Caenorhabditis elegans: one gene and its partners. The protein of the gene in region 1 purifies or fractionates together with the protein of each later gene. This does not show direct contact. Each region holds a gene or a part of one and is shown on either strand. Other genes may lie near its edges. The genes, in order: herd-1, deps-1, znfx-1 and lotr-1.

Region 1 (5,215 bases):
AATGACCAGACATCGGATCTCGTCGAAAAAGGGAGTCCCATGAAGATCTCCGGTGCTCTGTAGTTTTGTGTCTGCACAACTTCCGATGATTTCAAATCCTCCTGGTTGCTCTTTCGAGCATTTCCGAAATCGATAATACACACATTGAGCTCCTCGCTAGGTGAAATATAGCACACATCTTTCCTAATTTCCGTGGTGAAGGTACACGTGGAAGTGAAGCAGATATTCTCTGGCTTTAAATCCAAATGCACAATTTCCATTTTTTCCAGCTTCTTCATAGCGGACAAAATCTGTGCTCCAATTTCTCGAATCGTTGCAATTGGGAACGAGATTTCCTTGTTCGGCACCTCCGACTTTGTTGAATCCATAACGCTGAATAACGATTTTCCTCTCAATTCCATCAGAATAGCAATTCGGAGATATCCTTCTGGAACTGAAGCCATTTTTCCACTTTTCACGAGTTTGATCAAATTCGGGTGGTGAGCAGCGGCGACAGATTTCATTATCTGTAAATAATTGGGGATTGAAAGCTGAAAAATGGGGGGAAAAAAAATTATAGATTATTTAAATACCTCACTTTCGCGAACCCAGTCTTCGCATCCAAACTGTGTGTGTCCTGCTTTGAAGAGCTTCAGCGCAAATTTCTTCTTCTTCTAAAATATTAGATTTAAAATTTAAAGCACAATTTTAAAACAAAAAAACCTCAGCATCAGCAACCTCAAAAACTGTGCCAAAAACTCCTTCGCCAAGAACCGACACATTTTCAACTGAAAATTCAATTAATTTCTTAAAAAGATAACGTTTTTAAAAGTTTTAAAACAACTTACGATCGGTTCCCCAATTCGTGCGAAATGATTTGTCAGTTGTGCCATGAAAGTCGACAAATCGTCTGAATTCGAGCTTCTCACCACAGCTTGAATAGGCTTTTTTAGCCGGTAAGGAGTGGTGTTGGAGACAGGTGCTCGCACGTTTCATCTGAAATTTTAGGCCAAGTTAGGCAAAATTAGTAGTGAGTCGAATAGGAACAATAGAAATAACAGGTCACATTTGCATTGAATTTGGAATATTTTTAGGTATTTTTTCTCGTAAAATGTAAGAAAATCAATTGAAAAACCAAAGAAAAAGGTTGAAATTTAAATTTCTTATATTAAAAAAAAAAAAAAACTTTTAAGTGCCGGTTACGGTACGCAAGTCCGCAAACACGCTGCATACACTCCACAACTACCGTAGTCCACGGGCGGCCGCATTGCGCAATTGCGTGAATTCATAATCCTAAAAGTTTTTTTTTCATTTTTGTCCTATTTCCTTCAAAGTTTGTTCGTTTTCCATCGATTTTCACCATTTTTTTTGCACGAAATATTTTAAATTATCAATATTCTTGATACAAAAACTTTATTTTTCCTAATAATTCCCGTTTTTCAGCCATGGCTACCCGAAACATGCTCCAATCATATGGAAAACGCGGAATTTACGTTTCACTGGCTGTCGCTGTCGTCTCGACTGCCGCCTTCAACGCATTTTACGTCTGGCCACGTCACAACAAATATGAAGAATTTTTCGCGTCAGTCTGATCCTCGCACAAGTTTGTCTCAACGAAAACTTGCAGAAACTACGATCCGTACACTAGAATGAAGGAGATTTGCGCTGCTAACAAGGGATACATGCATACTTGTCCGAAGGAATTGGCGAAATTGTACGAGGAGAAAGGAAAAGCTGTTGCCGAGCACTAAATTTTCGATGAATTGCTTATAACAAAGCACTATTATGTCTTGTTTTCTTTCATTCTTGATCAGTATTTACATTGTGTTTTATACCACATGCATATCTTCCTTTTTTTAAAACCATTTTGTAACAACGAAAACCTCCCTTTACAGATAATAATGGCTGAGAATAAGAGTTCGAGTGAACTGCCCGATAAGAAGACTCTTGATATGAACAAGGAATGGGTGCAGGAGCTGGAGGCTGTGAGTTTCCAAGTGTTTAACTTATAAATATTTATTTTTTTCAGATTTTCTACAGCTACAGAAACTACGACGTGAGCAAGATCAGAGTTCAACAGTTTTTGGACAGATCATCCAACTTCCTCATCTACGATTTCTACACCTCCAACCTTTCTCTGGAGTATGTGAATAATGTCACCTTCAGTACCCTCATTTATACAAATTTTCAGCGCGACGCAGTATTTCCAAGCAGGAATCACTCAAAAGGACGTCGGACTGAGCAAAGACTACATCCTCCTCATGCGGAAACTCTACAGTATGCTGACGGAGCCGAGCAAGCAGTTCTTCCAGGAGGAATTCGTGAAGGAATGGCAATTTCACGAAATTGATTATACGCCATACTTCGAAACGCTCGTACCCAGATTCAGGGAGAAAGTTGCGAGCCTATTGGATGAAATTTCCAAAAATCCAAAAGAAGTCGACGATGATTTTCAGGAAGAGGTAAAAATATAATTATTTTCGAATCACGGTTCATATCGATATTTCAGCTCCGCTGGCACCTGCTCTACTCACCAGCCACCACTCTTATGGAAATGTTCACTCAATGCCTCAAGAACTTCGACATCGCCGGAATTTGCATAGAAGTGTGCCAAAAAGTGCCACAATTGTTCTTCGATCGTCGGTTGAAAATGTATCACACGGAATACGAAACCGATCGAGTTGAATCACTCATGGCTCTCGTTTTCCGCAGATTGATCCTCAATAAGCGTTGGGTGGATACTAGTAACGAAGAGTGGCGCAATTTGGAACAACTCGCAAGAGTCATATGCTCAGGAAAGGAACCCGCGTTGATGTCCGCATGGGCACTTCTGGATGTGGTGCTTTGCGAACTCTACACAGAGAACAGAATTCCCATGATATCGGTGGAGGTTTTGAGCGAGATTGCTGCAAAAATTGTCGAAAACTTCGATAATTTGGAGTATGCCACGTCGGCGAGATCTAAGCCAGCTGACAAAGTTCTCTTGACTCCCTCGATCATTTGTTTCTTGCTCAACACTATTGATGACGCGAACGTTTCGAATACAGTCATTGAAAACTGTAAAATGATTCTCAAGGCGATTGGTCAATCCATGAAGCAGCCATTCGATGATGAAGCGAAGAGCTACTTGACTTCTGAGGTTTTGAGAAAATTCCCGTGGCCCGTAGAATTCGCATGTTCAACGTGGTTCAAGTCACTGGAAGTTGAGAAGCGACGCATTCCATCAGCGATCTACAAAGCAGTCAATGGAGCAATTGAGGAGACATTCGACGAAAGAAGCGGAATTTTTGGTCAATCGGACAATAAAGGAGACGCAGAACGATGCTCGTCTCCATCATCTCAATCTTCAGTGAAGACGGCGATATCGATTGGCGATAAATCAGGCACCGCTGTTGATAATTTGAAGATGAATGAGCTGAATCTGAGCCCAATGTCAGCAGAAACTGTAGAAGATGAGAAAAGCTGTAAATCCGCGTTGGTCGCAGAGATATTCGAGGAAATCCCACTGGAAACTGATCAAAACATCTCAGTTTTTGAAGATCCACTCGAAGTTCTCACGGAATACCTCGATTATATCATCACGATGGGAGTGTTCGACGTCTCGTGCGCCAACGAGCTCATGTGTCACAGCTCAGTCACGTTTGAATCCACGGAACAGCTGGAGAAAGTTATGAAGAAGGCGTTTGAGGAGAACTTCGAGATCGCAAAAGCCGGCCCACAGCGTATCAGAGAGATTTGTGCGAAGATTTTGGAGGTAATTTTTTTTTGATTTTTCAATAAAATTAATTTCTGAAAATCGGCCATTTCTGAATTTCTATATTTCCAGGTTTTCGCTCCAAGCTCGTCGGAATCGGACCACGACCGTATCGCTTCTTCGCTCATTGAGGTCATTCCAACAGAAAAATATGAGGACACTGGACCAAGATGCACTCAGGATTTAAAGAAATCGGAAATCATTCAGCCTCTGGTCATCATTCCAGACAAAACATCTATGGAACGCTGGCCGCCAACTGGTAGGAAAATGATACTAAATTATCGATTATTTCGTAAATAATTCTGATTTCTTGCAGAATACCGTTATAAACCAAATGAAATCAATGGATCTCGTAACTCTGCACGACATGAACGTGAAGTTCGCAAGCAAGTTGCATTAACCAAATCTTTGGAAATGGCTCAACTTCATCGCAATTTGTGGGCGGAAAGCGAGAGAAATATGGACCACTGGACCCGACCAGCGTCCCCAGGCAATCGTCCATTTTTTGGCGGATCTCGCATGAACTCGTCCACATCAAGTATGTTTTTAAAAGAAAGCCAATATGTTTTGTTTTAATTATAATTTTTGTAGGAGCGCATGGCAGCTCTACGAACGGGTTCCGTTAAGCCGACTGATCGCCCCTGGAATGTTTAAAACGTTCATTTTATTTTTGTTCTTTTGTTTTCAATTTTTCGTTCCTGATTTTTGTTGTAAAATGTATTTCGCATGGTTTTACCCCTTTTTCACTGAGTTGTGGCCCTAAGTCACCGTATTCTTTTTGTTGTTACCCTCGGAATTTTTTAAATAATTACCCTCGGAATTTTTTAAATAATTTTTCCCGATTTTTTCCTAGGAATATGTTAACGTTGAGGTTTCTTCCTCAACGTGAACATTTTAACTCAATGGTGCTCCATGAGGCCATTTCCTTTTCAATGAATTTTTTAAATTAAAAAAAAACGACAAGATTTGGCCTCTGGTATTTATTTAGAAATATGTTCTGAAACTTTTGTGAATATTGTTAGAGTGTGCAATTGCGCGTCAATTCACGTGTTTTCACACACGACACGCGATAGGAGAGAAACCTGAAGAAAAGATCCACTTTTAATGCGATATTTATCCCTTGATTTTATTGATTTTTGAGAAAAAAACGTTGCTTTTTTCCAGTAATGAGCGGATGGTTACGAAATATTCAAGGACAATTAACAGATTTGGCAAATGAAGTGCTAAATGAGGCGAATGATGTGTTGGCAGAGGCCACAGAAGAAGTTCAAGATCCTGATGGAGAGATTATTGTGAGAATTATTAATTTTAAGTTAAAATTGTTAAAAATTGGAAAAATTCAGTTAAAAAACTCGAATTTTAAATAAAAAATCAATTTTTTAAACCAAAAAAAACTTCCAGGTAGCTAAAAAAAAGGCAGCTGAAGCCGAAAAGCAACTTGCAATCGAAACTTCGCGTGTCGAACTTCTTGGAAACGAAAAG
Region 2 (4,911 bases), on another chromosome or scaffold:
TTCTCGGGAAAACTGTAAAATCGATTGCAACAAAAGTTTGAAACTACAGTACTCCTTAAAGGCGCACACTCTATTGGCATTCAACTGACAACAAAAATTTGTCGTGGTGAGACCCGGCCAGTGCATTTTTTAGAGCAAAAATCGCCAAAATTTCGCATTTTTTGCAGTACTGTGACCTTTGCCTCCGTGTTTCCATGGAATTCATGTTCCCGGTGGGTGTGCTCATTGTGTTCTCGATCACACAGATTCTTATCACAGTATCTCCGGGAATGGCTTCTCGTATTCGGAATCCGATTCCATCACTGGCTTCGTTCATCTATATGTCATTTGTTTGTTTTTAACCTTCTGATACACCTAATCTTTTCTGAAATTTCAGTTTTTCAAGTGCATAACGAACTTGCTCACGTCTATCGCGATGCTACCCTATCTTGGATGTACCGATCAACCATCATTTTGGGGGGAGTATCTCGCTGCCGGCTTGTTGGGACTTTTCTGGATGTATTCGCTGCTTAACATGGGTGTATTCACTAGAATAACCTACCACAACTTCATTAGAGCACGAGAAAATTACGAGAGACAAGTTGTGCGGAATGGGATGGTGGTGGAACTTGAAGTTTAAATAAATAAATGTTTGGTTGGATAACGGGTAGATTAAAAATGAGCAGAACATTTGAAACACAAATACGGGGGAAAACGGGATGCGTATATATTTAATTAGACCCTGGAAGATGTTGAGCTTTGTGGAGTACCAGATGGAGTTCTGCGGCTTGAAGGGCCAACGAATCGCTGAAAAACTTGTTTTTATCATCTTCCAACCTTAAAAATAAACTTACGTTTGAGCTCACTGAAGTAGCTGCAGATGCTCTTGATTGAATTGATGATCTGGATCCAATGGAACTTCCAGCTGGCGTAGTTCTGGCCGATGTTGCTCTGCTCGAATTCGCGCTCATTGCAATCAACGGAGGACAGATGGCTGTCGAGCATACTTCCATGATGGTAGCAGCACGGCGACAATCATTGACAGTAATGGATTCACGGACCCATGCCAGGAACCTTAAAATTCAGTTACAATTATTTTTACAAATCCTGACACACTCACTTTCCTCTACATGGAGTCTCCAACTCTCTGAAATCCACAAATCCCATCGAATCACTCTCCGCCAACTGCTCATGATCGCAATTTGGCTTCAAGTACACTTGGAACAAGCGCTGAATATTTTCCTCATAGAATAAAAACTATTAAATAATTGAAGACTAACCGTATCACCAGAGACCGAGTAATTTTTACAAGTGAACGCTGGACATGGAGAACATTCGGTGATCATAATTTCACTGTCGACTCCAGCTTGTCGCTTTCCAACGAATTGAACTCCTCCGCCAATGGGGATTCCTTCCTTCAAGTTATTGGGGATTTTGAAGTAGACATTCGGATGTTTGGCACAAATGACAGTGTCTTCATTGATTCGAATTCCTTTGACTGGACCAACAACGAACTGAAAAATTCAGGGGTGAAAAGGACGAGTTTAATTTAACTTTAGAGACCTGAGTATCACGAAGCCAGTTTTCAAAAATGGACATTCCCGATGTACGAACAATGCGGTAACGGACAGATTTGTTTTCTGAAGTTCGAACAGCACGAACTTCGGCCTGAAAATTGAAAGCGTTTGTTTCAAAATAAGACCCACTCATGATTACCATAGCCTTCAAGAATTCATAACCAGCTGGATGAAACTCGAAGAATGAAAGAAGATGGTGTGGGTCATCAATCAATCCAAGAGTGCCCTCCTTGTCAACGAAGAGACCTCTGATACTGGCAGGAACGACGCGGGTAAGGAGCTGAAATAAAAATTATGTTCTGGACAAAAAAATCAATATTATAACTTACATTTCCGTTGACAGAGGTTACATGCTGTCTGAGAAGTGGAACTGGCTGAAGCTCATAGATCAGAAAACCGTTGTGCTGCATCGACCAAATAGCACTGAAATGAAAGTATTCTCCGACGGCTGGGTAGATCAAAGTCTTGTCCGTTCCTCGGGAAAATGGCTTCTGCAGTGGGATAATAAAGTCGAACTGCGAGAGTTCTTTGCAAATCAGTAGGCGTTCGCCGACATACAGGCCAAGCTGCATCTTGATGACCTGCAAAATCAAATTGTCAACGAGAATCCACAAAGCAACCTTAACCTCGGCCCATTTGTCTTCTGGCAAGTGCCAGCCTTCTCTCGGCTCGATATCAATTTCGTCGTCGCTATCAGCAGGCTTTGGATCCGGGCGCCAAACACCGAATTTAGAGTCAGGAGAGCCTGCGTTCCATGGCTGAAAGTTATTTGTTCAAAATCCCGTAAAAAATTTTTAAAAAGCAAATACCGCTTCACAGACGCGTGCTTGGTCGGATGGATCGCAACTGTCAAACGATTCGAATGTTGCAGTCATATTGAAAGGATCTAGACCACTCTTCATGGTAGTTTCGAATCGAATCCAGGCGTATAGCCAAACGTCTGGCTCCGCACGGGTCGCCTCTGTCTCTGCTGAAATAAATATATGGTTAGAGAGACGAAAATCAAGAAGAAACATACGCATGGTGACGGTGCATAATGGCGTCCAGAACGAGGTCGTTGAGGTGGGCTGGATGACGCCACCGACTTTCAAAATAAGTCCATTTCTGCTGGAAGACGCTTCATAAATTGGTTTTTCTCGTTTGATATGAAGGATTATCCTCTTATCGTGATCACAGTCCGATTCGTTCCATAGGATGACTTCACCGAACTTTAGCGGGATTTTGGATCGACGTCTAAAAATTCAAGTGTTAACAGATTAAAAATGGGCTCAAATCAAATAAATACTGACTCAAGATTTTTTGCCTCTTCGATATTATCGAAATTCCTCTCCAAGTTTGTTGGAACAAATGCGCACTTGGAGACACCGTACATGATGTTCTTCGGGGCCGCTTTTCCCTGAAAACGAGCTTATTATTTTAAATATGAAAACGGAGGGAATTCACGTACATGAGCTTGAATGAGATAAACGAGGTCCGTCTCCGAATCTTGGTTATCTTGTCCAGTGGAGGAAATGACGATACCTTGATAGTCAAAATATTTGGATTGGCGTTCTGACATTTTTGTCTGAAAATTGGATTTTTTGCAACAAAAAAATGATGAGCGAAACGAAAAAAAAGAAAAATCTGTAAAAAACGTAGGATTCGAAACAAATTTCCCACGAGAAATCAGATGCGCGGCGCAGTGGTCTCACCACGAAGAGCTACCGTACCTTAAAGGCACATTGGTGTTCAATGGCGGAAAAAAAAGTTTCGAATTTTTCCGTTTATTTTTCCATTAAAATTCTGTTTTAAAACTTATTTTTTCTGATTTTTCAGCGAAAAAATGGCAGATATTAGTATCCGCTCGACAAATTCCAATATATCTCGAGGAGCACGTCCGGAATCAGGCCGCCTGCACCGAAAATACCCGTATCGCTGGCTTTTCGATCAAGTTCATGTCAAAGTAATCGATTTTTTCCGTCTAAAAGCTAAATTTTAATTTTCAGAGCCTGATATTCCATGTGGAAGTGGGAATGCTCGCCATTGCCATCATCGGGCTCTACAGGGCCAGTCAAATGAGTGTCGACGAGCATTTCGAGCCGCCATCCGTTCCCGGCTTCGATGGACTTCAGTGGAACGGCGAAACGTTTCGAAACTTCAATGGAGTGCTGATCCGCCCGAATTATGTGCCGGCTCGGAATTTAATCAATATTTTCTCGTATTTTCTGATTTTTAGGTAGGGTTTCAGGGGATATTTTAGACTTTTTCCATCGATTTTCTTCAGCATCGCAACCGGATTCTTGGGAATGAGGCTCTCCGAGACGAGCATCACACGTCGAAACTTTCCCCGGAAAGTCAACCCGGCTCTTCTACTCATTCCATCCGCAATTTCTGTGGTATTTTGCTAAAAAAAATCGATATTTTCCCTTGAAAATCCTAAATATTTTCAGATTTCCATCTTGTACCCGCTCTCCGTGTGGACGCTGCGGACTCTTTACTCAATAATAAAGCTTTTAATCAAGGAGAATCTGAAATTTTCGATTTTGTTAGGTAGAATTTTTAATTTTTAATTTTTAAATGTGGACTACACCCTGTGGGGAAATTGCTTTAAAACACGCCTATGGTACCACAATGACCAAATATCACGTTAAAAAACTTCAAAAAAAATTTATAAATTTTATATGATTTTTTGAAAATTGAAAAAATCTGAAAAAGTTTTTGCCTAATTCCTATTTGAATTACCGCCAATTGAACTCGTTCGTTGGAGCGCGCTTGCATTATTTTTTTTATTAATTTATTCTATTTTTCTTCTATTTTTTCATTCCGTGATTATTTTCACTCGGGAATCGCTCGCCCACTATGGGGGAGTCTACGCAAGGACAACGCAAGGACAAGGACAACATTTTAATGGAATGGAAACGATTGCCCGACTGCACCAATTCTAGTTCAAGCGAACAATGATAACTTTTGTATTCTGTATTCCTTCACGTCTCCCAGCGAGCGTAATAAATTATTATTATTATTATTATTATTATTATTATTATTATGTCACTGATTTTCTTCATTAGTTGTGTATTTTTATCGGAAAGAGAAGTAAAAAAGCAAGATTAATGCAGAATGTTTGCTAAAAAGTGTTTAAAAATGTGAAAAATACGTAAAACTGTAAAATAATGAGTTCCGACGACAACAAACCTGAAACTAGCATATTTTTCAGTTTTACGCATTTTCAGTGATTTTTTAATCGGAAATTTGCATTTATTTTAACTTTTTCTCTAAAATTCAAGCAAAAATACACCGAAAACATTGAAAATCGGTGGAAAATAACAATAAATAAAATAAATAAATTTAAAAACGTGCAAGCGCGCTCCATCGAACA
Region 3 (4,560 bases), on another chromosome or scaffold:
AATTCGGTCAACTACACGGGGCCATTAACCAGAACATCAACTATGGATACTGTTGAGTTGGAGGCATTGTTGAGGAGAGAACAACATTTCGTTGTACCATCGTACAGTGAAGTTATGCTCATGCAAAATACGATTGCTAATTCAAATGTAAGGTTTTTTTTAAATATTAAAATTTTAAGATCATTTGCTCCTGATAAATATTTATTAATCGCTCTGATAATATTGTAGACCAATTATCCAAATATTCGATGCCTGGACCCTGTGATTCTTCCACGACCATTCGTGAGTACAACTAACGAACATATCGTACTTCGGAACTATGGAGCAACAGAAACCGACAATTCACTATCTGAGCCCATTACAGCAACGCCGAGACCTCTTAGAGTTAGCCGAAGTATGACATTTGCTGCTCAAGGAAATCTCGAAGAATCAGCTGAGAATCTGAGTTGTTTAGAAAACGGAAGTAGAGCAAATCGTGCTATTCCATCGAGTCGGCGGAATTTGCCGTTACGTTCGTTATCGATAGGTGGTATTTCTGCTTGGTCCAATGGTTACAGAGAAATTGGAAATCCTGATGATTCACAACTACTCATTGAACCAGATGAACCACCTCCACCATATGAGGTCGGTTTTCAATTTATAATGGAAATGACAATTTATTTCTCAGGTTGCTCTCAGAATGTGTGCTCCATTATATGAACGCCTACGACGATCAATATCTTCACGATTGGCTTCAATTTCTCACTCGAGCTCGAAGGATTTGAAGTCGCTAACTTTGAAAAGTAGTTCTAGTAACAATAATAACAATAATTCAAACAACAATAATAACGATGATCCAGAACATCCATAAAATCGGGTATTTTTTCACATGCGGACCAATTTTAAGAATTGTTAAACGTTGGTGCTTGAAATAAATAATTTTTCTGATTTTTTTTTATTTTCAAGTTTAAAAAAATTGTGTTTCAAGTTATTCGATTAAAAGCGTTGTTTTTATTGCCTTATTAAATGGTAAAAAGCAATCAATTTTTAAAGGAGCGTCCACTGAATACGAGGAGATGGTCTCGGCACGAAATATAAAAAACTACAGTACCCTTGGAAGTATTGGCGCGGAAATTTTTTTTTATTCAGTTATTTATCTGTTCAGTTTTCGTATTTTTGATGTTAAAACTCCATTTTTCTCTTCAAAATTTGTATTAAAAATCACTGGGCAACGCATTTTCACTATTACAGAAGTATTTTTGATGAAATCTTCAAGAAATTCACATGTTTCTTTGTTTAAAATTTTAGGATTTGACGGTTTCGGTTTTTAGGCCAAAAAACTCCGTTACCAGTTTTAATTTCGTTCTGATTCCGTGAGGCAATGCTTCACTAATCACATTTTTCACGAAATACAAAGTCTTGCTTGAAAATTTAACAAAAAACTCCAATACTCTCGCAAAATCTTGAATATGGCCATTTTATTTGATGTAATTATTTCTTTTACAGATAAATACTTCAAACCAACCAATCCATCTATCTGACAAGCTAATGTCCAGAGATAAACCACCTCAACGTGAGGTTGGCGGACGTCGGTTGCCCTACGAAATGGGTTCGTTGAAGTTCGACGAAGACCCGTTCCGCGGACAGCGCCGGCGTCCGTGGATGTGCTTCAGAATCGGCTATCCGACAAGCGAGTTCTCATCAGAGCACTTCATGTACGTTCAAATTATTCAAAAATTATTGAAAAAACGTATTGTTTCAGGAAATTCGTGAAAAGGTGTCACACTTCGATGATAGAAGTAGGTATTCTTCTCGATGATGAACGGGAATTCCTGCAATATCAAGAAGTCAGGGAAGATTATCTTCTTCTGAAAAAGCTCATCGAGGAAGGTCTGCAGAAGTGTGAAACGATCTATGAAAAAGGACCGCTGTCGACTCCGGTTGTTTTTTTCATTTTAGACCAGTGCGGTAAGAAAAGTAAATTATACATAACGTGTATAAATATTCACTCATACAGACGAAGACGAAGTCCAAAACATGCTGGATATGTTTAGGGAGTCTTGTTATATCTTCCATATGAAACGCAACGAAATTCTCAACTGGATCAACGAAATGGAGTATGAAGAACTGGAGTGAGTAAATGTTCAGCATAACGTCGAAAAAATTCATATTTCAGAAGTGACTGCTCTAAATTTGCACAGTTCATCAAAGGAGTGGAAAATCTGACGGAATCCATCGCGATGCCCATGGAGGTAGAAACAGAGTAGGCTATCTAGAAGGAAAAAATAATTAAAAAACATCTAACTTTCATAGAGAATTCATCTTTGGAAAGAGTTCGATTGTATCGACCGAAGACTTTGTTGAAGACGCCCCTCACAAGCAGATCGCACAAGATCAACGCGAAACAAGGTATCGTTACCATGTTGTAAACTTTCTATTCAAAAATTTTGCAATATCTCTTCGTTCATATTAGACTTATGGCCTAGCTATTTCTTTCTTTTTCCACACGTCCAACATAGATAGACAGTTCGAGACGTAGAGAAAAACAGAAAAACCGTGACTAGTTGCTTCCCCTGTGATTGATATGCTTTTTTTTCACAAATTCGAAAAAAATAATCTGAATAAGCATGTTTTCACATCAGAATTTGTTAAACAGTGTGTTTGGAAATACTGAAATATTCCCTTGACTCGCAGGATTTAACGAATAATTATTTCAAAATTTTCGATTGTTTTTCTCAATAACATCAATAATTTTTCCTGAATTCCTGATATTGCTTTTAAAAATATATAATAGAATTGGTGACCTTTGTTAAATCATTGATAATCGCAGTGGCTTTTGTTTTTATTCTCGTTTCATAAACAACGTGAATCGTGGTAGCGGAAAAAAAACCACATTTATCGTGTTCCCATCTTTCCCCAGAAACCTGGCCGCGTTCCTTTTCACTGTAGTAAACGCGGATTTTTGTGGGCATACTGATTTCGTTAGAAAATACTTTTTCTTAAAATGCTAGAGCTCTCCGCGTTCTCTCATAATGTATAATTAAATTATCTTGTTTCAGACCAATTCGCCAACCGTATTCAATGGTCAGAAACCTCGCCCCCCCAGGGCTCCCGCCGCCTGGAATTTCGATTTCAAACAGTTCGCCTCCTGGATTATCTTCAGTTTCGCCAATTCCCCGAGCAGATACACGCGAATCCCGTTATTCCACCCCTCAACCACCCGGATTGTCAATTCCAGCACCACCTGGAATATCTCTTCCAACTCCACCAGGAATATCTCTTCAAAATCATCAGAATGATCAATTCGAGCAAGCTCATAGTACCATTTCGAGAATGAGCGAGAATAGTTCATCTTCGAGGCGTCGATTCCGCGATGAAGAAGTTCAGGAAGAAGAAGGAGATCATATTCTATCGTCTGAAGATGTACATGCTGCGCGGAACGTGTGTGAAACCAAAATCCTTGTTAGAGGAGTTCCGCAAAAGAACGATTCTGAGTTGGTAAGATCTATTCATTTTTGTGATAAACTGCAACCTGTGAGTTATTTCGGCAATTTCCGGAAAACTAATCTTCAATAAACACGAAATTAATATTAAAATTTTAATTTTCAGTCCAAGCTCATCAACGGATCAAAACTATACGTACGGTTCGAACGTCCGTTTGTAAAACTAGCTCACAATCTAGAACTTCTCTACGTTGTCAATTATGCTATCAGTTCTCGAAAAAGTATTGTTCGGGATCACAGTAAAGCAATTATTCGCGGATTGTTCGAAAAGGATTTTCTACTGAAGCTCAAAAGTAAATTCCTGGAAAGCTCGTTTGACAATGACACGTGGACTCCCGAGGGTACAGAATTGCTATTCGAAATCTTTCATTTGTTTTTCACAACGGCTCGATACAAGGGTGGATTCATGCTGACACTTCCGAGATTTGTAAGTTGAAATAAACTGAAAATTTTAAAAGTAAACATTATTATAGGCGCCGTCTTGGCATGATTTCTCGATGGCTTTCGATATTGCTGACATGGATGGACTTGAGGAAGCTGGTGTGGGTGATGATGAGCTTAGAAATCTTAGGAGGCTGATTGGTTACATTGAAACATGGATCAAACGGGCAGAACGGGAACGAAACCCCAGTCCATTGGCGCTGCGGTCATATTCAGTGTACGAAAAAGCTGGTTCTTCTGACAGTGGACGCCAAGTTTTATCTGAAAGTCGAGGTGCAGGTTCCAGCAATGTTTATGGTCATGACGAGGTGGATTTCGTCGATCACAGACGCAGAGACGAGTTCGGACATCGTGATAACTACCGGACAGAAAACCGTCGCCATAAAAGCCCGGACAATTTTGGAGAAGTTCACAGAAGGCTCGATGAGCAACAACAACAACGACATGAGGATGAATCATCAAGATATCGCGATGACTCGAGACAGTCTCGACGAGCAGATGATAGAAGAGATCAATATCAGTACAACGAATCAACATCTATGGAAAATCACTTGGGGTTTCACAACGGCGGTGGCACCGTCAGTGAGCACTCACGAGATGATAAATTCGTTTCGCCTCAAAATTGTGAAGAAAAACG
Region 4 (5,606 bases), on another chromosome or scaffold:
TGCAACAGTGAAGCAATTCGACTCCATTGATTTTTTCCGTATTTCATAATAGCTGCTTTGAGGATTTCATCCTGAAACGTTTTATTTTTGTGAAAACAACTTGATTTGCAACTAACCTCTGTATTCTTCCACACACCTCCTTTGATAATAACTCGCACCATGTTTGGTTTTGCTTACTGCAACGAAAACTAGATTTGCGAATTTGAATGGTAAAAATTGAATTTGGCACCAATTTGATAGATTAAAGAATTTAAAATAAAGTCAACTCGGTAAATATTTTAATCAACGTTACTATTTTGAAAGCTAACGAGTGTTACGAACAAGTTGTATTGATTTTTAAATAATTCGATACTAAAAATTCCCGCAGAATACATGGAGATTACTGAAACAAAAAGGCAAAACAGAAACTATCAAGAAGAAAATGTGTATTTTTCGAATGGAGCTCGCTTTCGAAATGTGGAGGACTAGTACACGAAGGACAATACGAGGCCACGGCCATTAACCGCCTTTAAATAAAAAAGATCGACAGTGCGCATAAAAACTTCATTTTCAGTACGAATTAGATATAAAAAAGAAACATATTGGGTAGAGTTAACATTTGCGAGTTTAAATCACAAGTGTACTCTAAATGCACATAAATCGGAAACCATGTGAAAACAGCTATAAAACAATGAAAAATTATTGTTAAAAGAAGAAACAAAAACGAGTTTCTGAAAATTCTATAGGGAAAGGGGCACAAATAAGATTATGGAATATGTTGCTAACGTGCAGTTTTAATGGCACAGATGTGAAAATCTGACACGTGGATTAGAAATGTTTCAGAGACGAATGTTATTGTTTTTACCAGTCGTGAGCATGTACGTGAGCAAGCGTTCCCATTCATTGTTATCGCCGAATAAATCCTTCAAACTTCGAACGAATTGGAACATCCCCACAATCATAGTAACATTCTGTTCCTCGATTAACTTATCGAACAATGAATGGAGATTCAAGAGTTTTGGGTCAAATGAAGATGTTGCATCGATTTCTTCGATAATTGGGCTTGGCATCTCACCAACATAAGTAGTTGTCATAGATTCTGAAACGAAAATGATTTTAAAATCTAACGATTTTGACACAAACCACGACTATCATGAACAATTCTAGTCGATTCCATCAATGAAGATGTTGCAGATTCATCACGAACTGAATAGTCGACAAAGCACACCGAACAATCTGGTCCAACAGACTTTATCACATCGAGTGCAGAATGTGGAAAGTGAATGATGTTGGCATCGGACGAAGTAACTGCTCCACGTCTCTTGACAATTTGTGAAAGCCACTCAAATTGACCACGCTCATTTTTCCAAACCATATCGATGTTAAGAATTCTCTGCAAACATTAAACAAATTTCTAAACAACCATCTGTAAACTCACGTCATCGTTTCCATGAAAATATCCACCCACAAATCGTTTTGTATCATCATTATCAATGTTTTCGAACATCACATCCTGCTCAGAAAGCGTCAAACCCAGTACTCCATGCAATGTTGCGAATACAACATTCGAGGGAAAGTGTTTGAAGCTGGCTTCTTCCGGAATCGGGAACAAATGAGATAGATGTACATCCACGAAATATTGATCATCGACATCAGCCAACAAAACCAACACTTCACCATCTTGTTTAGCTTGTCCAACTATCAACACTCTATAATAGCGCACCTCCGCTCCTTGTCGATAAACGTAGACTGCAGCTGATCCCGTGCGGACGGTTTCACGCTGGAGCTCCACAATAGGCGCTACCATCACGGCCCGCAATATATTCCCCATAGTAGCAACCTTTTCAACGTCCATTTCTTCACGTTCTTCATCTTTTAAAATCAACAAAAATCCGCGTGGCGCAATAAACATTGCAGGCTTGACCACTTTAACAGATTGTTTCTTGATATGGGAATTTCCCAGTGTCATCCAACGTAAATCAGACTCGACAGGATCCCGAAGATTGTTCTCTAGGAGTGGCAATGTAGTCGTGTCAACGTGGGGATCACAAAGGCGGACCATCATTTCTCCAGGTTGAGTTGCATAAACTTTGAAAATGTTCTTTCCTAAGTCGACGATAATCTTATCACAATCCGAAAGCGCTTCATAAGGAATGCTACCATGAGTTTTTACGACTTCAGCAAGATTTTGTGTTGGATTGCGAGGCTTGATCGTACGATGACGAAGCACTGAATGATTGCGACGAGATGATTGAATAGTTAGAATAGATGTGTTGTCTGTAAATTCAATATTTGTTCATTAGCAGCGAAAATGTTTTCTCACTGTCGTCTTCTTGAGCACGCGACTGACGAAGAATTCCATTTTGTGGAACGAGTGACGAAGATACCGGACATTGTTGGCTTGCCACAGAGACAGTTCCAAAGCGCAATGCAATGTCGGTCATATCAGCGGTTCGATCTCGAGATATAGCATTTCCTGGATAGTCATCGATGCTTTCTTGATTCGAGTTGAAAATTTTTGAATCTTTGCTTCCATTTTCTGGGGGCACTTCGAAACTGTTGAACCCGTCACTGAAAATTGATAAATAACATCTGAAAAACAGTGATCAAAATGTGCCCTTACAAGGAATCGGATGTTTGATCTCTAATAGTTGAAGGAGCGGATACTACAGATTGTTCAAACGCTGAAGCTGAACCTGTAAAATAAATTACTATTGGAAAGCATCATTTGATCACTTTTACCGCCAAAAGATTCAGATTGAATAGAAACATCTGCTGACGGATTTTGTTCACTTTTTTGAGTTGGATCGGCATTGTCACGATCAATACAATCAACGAAGATGTCACCTTTTTCGCTAAGACGCCAGAAATGCAGATATTCGTTGAAAGGAGGAACATTGAGCTGAATGTATAGTTCACTGAAATCAAAACATTCAATTTAGAACTGACTATAAAAGCGCAACAATACTTTTGCGCAAGTGAATTACCTTTCCGATATGTTCTTTCCCCATGCTGGTAAACAATACAACTGTTTGAACTTATTGGCAAGAGCTGCCAGTGTTACAATCTTGCGATTTGGCTCATCAGGATGTGAAACTCCTATCTCATCAGCATATTCTTTCAAAACCTCTGCAAGGTTTTTTACGCGAGAAATTGTTTTTGCTGGACCCAACTTGTGTCTTGCTTTGAATCTAAAAAACAAATCATTGACAACGATTTTTTAAACTTCCACATACTGCTCAGGTGTTCCTCTCGATTTAGCGATTTCCTCTGACGCATACGGACCTCTGAATGCCCGGAATGATGACCCATGAGTGCTGAGGTTATTAGTAGCTCCTGAACCTAAAAACGAGCGGGCCGGGCGTTTTGAGCTCGACTGCTGCTGGACCATTTCGATAATATCTTGGTTGGCTTCAGTAGTTCTTGGCCCATATCGGTGTATTCCATCACGGCCGAAAGTGTGTACAATTGACTCCGAGCATGCTTGAAGAAGATCGTCCAAAGTCGAACAGTTATATCTTTTCGGATCAGGACATGCACCATAAGAATCCCTGAAACAAAGGTAGTGTCGTTATTTTTCGCAAAAAGAAACTCACAGCAGACGCCGTCTGATTTCTTCTGTACTAATTGGTATTTTTTCCGCAACCAAAACAGCTTGAAGCTCGATTTTGACTTTACGCATAGGGTCTACCTTTTGATTCTCAGTTACATTGATCGACTTTGGTTGCACCTGAAAATGTGTTTATTACTATTTACCTTCACAGATAATTGAATACCTTTCGAACTCTTTCAAAAATTTCATCCCCTTCCGGATCAGAATCTCCGAAAAGCTCATTAGCAGGCATCTCGCGGGATAAGTTAACGATGGACCTAAACTGCAACTTGATTAAAACAAATATTCGAAGATCACGGCAAATAAAAAGTACATAAAACCAAATCCATTGAAAAATATCCACGAAATAGATGAACTTTCAATTTTGAATCTGAAGCCGCGCGCCGTGCGCGCGTAAACTTTAGTCATTCGCACTTTCGCGGTGAGACCCACTGCAGCGTACGCATTTTCCGGGTGAGACCATCTATTGCAATGAATTAACTGCGCCTTTGATACACTTAAAGTTTGAAAAGCTTGAAAACCGATTTATTTAATTTTGTTTCTTTCTCGATCGAGTTTCAAAATATAAACAAAAATAATGTAATGCTTGAAGATTGATTCTTGATTAAGATCTCTGATGCTAATCCAACTTAGGTGCACTGCCGGTCTTTAATTAAAATCAAACATTTTTTGTTTGTTCATTCTTTATATTCAAAGTTCTTTTTTGAAATTGTTTTATAGTTATAACTAGAGAGTTATAGTGATAATCGAGATGAATGTTCTAATAATTACTTGTTATCTAGCAGAAGTCTTTGAGCTTTATTTAATCGTATTTTAAGACTCGAAACACGTATGGATTGGATCCAATGCAATCATTGTGGCATTAAACCAAATCAAACGAAACTGTACCTAACAGCATGCGGTCACGTTTTCTGTCAAAACTGTACGAAAGCTGGTTAGTAAATTTTAATAATAAATTTAGCTAGAATTTATATAGCATTTTTAGCATTTAACTCGCAGTGCTACTTGTGTAAAAAACCGCTAAAGGTGGATGAAATCAATAAAAACTTGCGACCTGATTTGATGGTAATGTTTCAGTCGACTTAAAATTCAATTTAAATAAAAAACCATCTCAGGAATTGTTCAAAGATCCGCGACAGCTGGCGTCAGACCTGGTCAACGAGCTGAAACAAGTTGTCGCATTTCAGGCGAAACAGCGAGAAATATATGTAAAATGTAAAAACGCCGAGGTTATCTGTTGACAATTGAATAACCAATAAAATTAATAATTTCAGGCGAAAAAAGATACCGAGCGATTCGCCGAAGCACGCTCAAAACACGTGGAAAAGACTCAAGAAATCGAAAAACGAAAGAAAGCTTTCCTTGAAGATAATGTCAAACTGAAAAATGCAAAAGAGGAAAAGAATCAGCTGATGGCCAGGCTGAAGGAACTACGCGAACAACCATCTCAAAATCTTTCTGTAAATAAACGCCGATCGAACACTCGAACTGAGCCGCCTTTCTCGAAGATATCCCGAACTGGTCCTCCCTCTGTGATGCGAAAAGCTAGTCATGAATTTTCATTAAACCTGCGTGATCAGTCAACGTCCAAGATTCTCACCAGCACTCCTCTCTCCAATGTTAGTTTTATCTCCTGTTTTCCAGTCCCCAGTACACTTGGTATTTTGGATAATCTTTAATGTCAATCCAAAACATCTGGCTGCCGGGTGTATTGCCAAGAAATCATTTGAATCATGGAACTTTCATTAATCCGCTCGCAATTGCTGTGATTGATTAAGTGTAATTTTTTCCAGATCGATTATAGTCGCCGTGATCATAGGAATAGATTGTTTGGCGCAGGACTTGAGCATCCGTCGCCAATTCTTCGTCAATAAAACTCCCTGTATGTCACCTCCGTATTTTTATCCTTTTTCCACAATTTTTATTTCTATTCAAAATCAAAGGTTTATTGCCCCCGTAATATCTCCCAAAGAATATTTATTCCCCTCTTCACTTTCACAGTATTTGCATCTTT

Evidence for each region.
Region 2: the proteins of herd-1 (region 1) and deps-1 purify together in Caenorhabditis elegans (affinity purification with western blotting; one study listed by BioGRID). This does not show direct contact.
Region 3: the proteins of herd-1 (region 1) and znfx-1 purify together in Caenorhabditis elegans (affinity purification with western blotting; one study listed by BioGRID). This does not show direct contact.
Region 4: the proteins of herd-1 (region 1) and lotr-1 purify together in Caenorhabditis elegans (affinity purification with western blotting; one study listed by BioGRID). This does not show direct contact.

The regions. Positions count from the first base shown.
Region 1 is NC_003281.10:12,494,664-12,499,878, forward strand, and holds herd-1 (Edg1 TPR repeats region domain-containing protein), read left to right. Parts: upstream 1-1,874; 5' UTR 1,875-1,880; coding exon 1,881-1,964; intron 1,965-2,008; coding exon 2,009-2,121; intron 2,122-2,170; coding exon 2,171-2,441; intron 2,442-2,488; coding exon 2,489-3,733; intron 3,734-3,805; coding exon 3,806-3,992; intron 3,993-4,049; coding exon 4,050-4,271; intron 4,272-4,324; coding exon 4,325-4,359; 3' UTR 4,360-4,684; downstream 4,685-5,215. Other genes in the region: Y111B2A.1 (Protein kinase domain-containing protein), read right to left, coding at 1-506, 573-653, 703-767, 828-975; Y111B2A.2 (Mitochondrial cytochrome c oxidase subunit VIc/VIIs domain-containing protein), read left to right, coding at 1,425-1,561, 1,607-1,730; sql-1 (GRIP domain-containing protein), read left to right, coding at 4,900-5,025, 5,135-5,215.
Region 2 is NC_003279.8:504,680-509,590, reverse strand, and holds deps-1 (P-granule-associated protein deps-1), read right to left. Parts: upstream 3,119-4,911; 5' UTR 3,115-3,118; coding exon 3,004-3,114; intron 2,953-3,003; coding exon 2,846-2,952; intron 2,790-2,845; coding exon 2,575-2,789; intron 2,527-2,574; coding exon 2,366-2,526; intron 2,315-2,365; coding exon 2,183-2,314; intron 2,138-2,182; coding exon 1,886-2,137; intron 1,837-1,885; coding exon 1,696-1,836; intron 1,648-1,695; coding exon 1,543-1,647; intron 1,494-1,542; coding exon 1,260-1,493; intron 1,210-1,259; coding exon 1,100-1,209; intron 1,054-1,099; coding exon 834-1,053; intron 787-833; coding exon 715-786; 3' UTR 620-714; downstream 1-619. Other genes in the region: Y65B4BL.7 (uncharacterized protein), read left to right, coding at 168-329, 377-619; Y65B4BL.4 (Dolichyl-phosphate-mannose--protein mannosyltransferase), read left to right, coding at 3,379-3,498, 3,542-3,771, 3,820-3,931, 3,986-4,085. UniProt on the Caenorhabditis elegans protein: Component of P-granules which is required for P-granule formation and integrity in adult germ cells. Promotes the accumulation of glh-1 mRNA and localization of pgl-1 to P-granules. Involved in RNA-mediated gene silencing (RNAi) in the germline.
Region 3 is NC_003280.10:9,212,175-9,216,734, forward strand, and holds the start of znfx-1 (NFX1-type zinc finger-containing protein 1 homolog), read left to right. Parts: upstream 1-1,527; coding exon 1,528-1,694; intron 1,695-1,741; coding exon 1,742-1,947; intron 1,948-1,996; coding exon 1,997-2,111; intron 2,112-2,155; coding exon 2,156-2,242; intron 2,243-2,292; coding exon 2,293-2,388; intron 2,389-3,038; coding exon 3,039-3,477; intron 3,478-3,588; coding exon 3,589-3,909; intron 3,910-3,955; coding exon 3,956-4,560. Other genes in the region: ZK1067.4 (Transmembrane protein 151 homolog), read left to right, coding at 1-147, 229-624, 668-850. UniProt on the Caenorhabditis elegans protein: Epigenetic inheritance factor which, in association with the Argonaute protein wago-4, mediates small RNA-directed transgenerational epigenetic inheritance and thus balances the transgenerational inheritance of epigenetic information.
Region 4 is NC_003279.8:8,485,861-8,491,466, reverse strand, and holds lotr-1 (HTH OST-type domain-containing protein), read right to left. Parts: upstream 3,850-5,606; 5' UTR 3,825-3,849; coding exon 3,756-3,824; intron 3,710-3,755; coding exon 3,576-3,709; intron 3,531-3,575; coding exon 3,216-3,530; intron 3,171-3,215; coding exon 2,967-3,170; intron 2,898-2,966; coding exon 2,722-2,897; intron 2,676-2,721; coding exon 2,603-2,675; intron 2,551-2,602; coding exon 2,303-2,550; intron 2,257-2,302; coding exon 1,418-2,256; intron 1,373-1,417; coding exon 1,123-1,372; intron 1,079-1,122; coding exon 819-1,078; 3' UTR 529-818; downstream 1-528. Other genes in the region: cdc-5L (Cell division cycle 5-like protein), read right to left, coding at 1-71, 117-161; zhp-2 (Zip homologous protein 2), read left to right, coding at 4,424-4,526, 4,578-4,657, 4,708-4,821, 4,867-5,211, 5,386-5,466.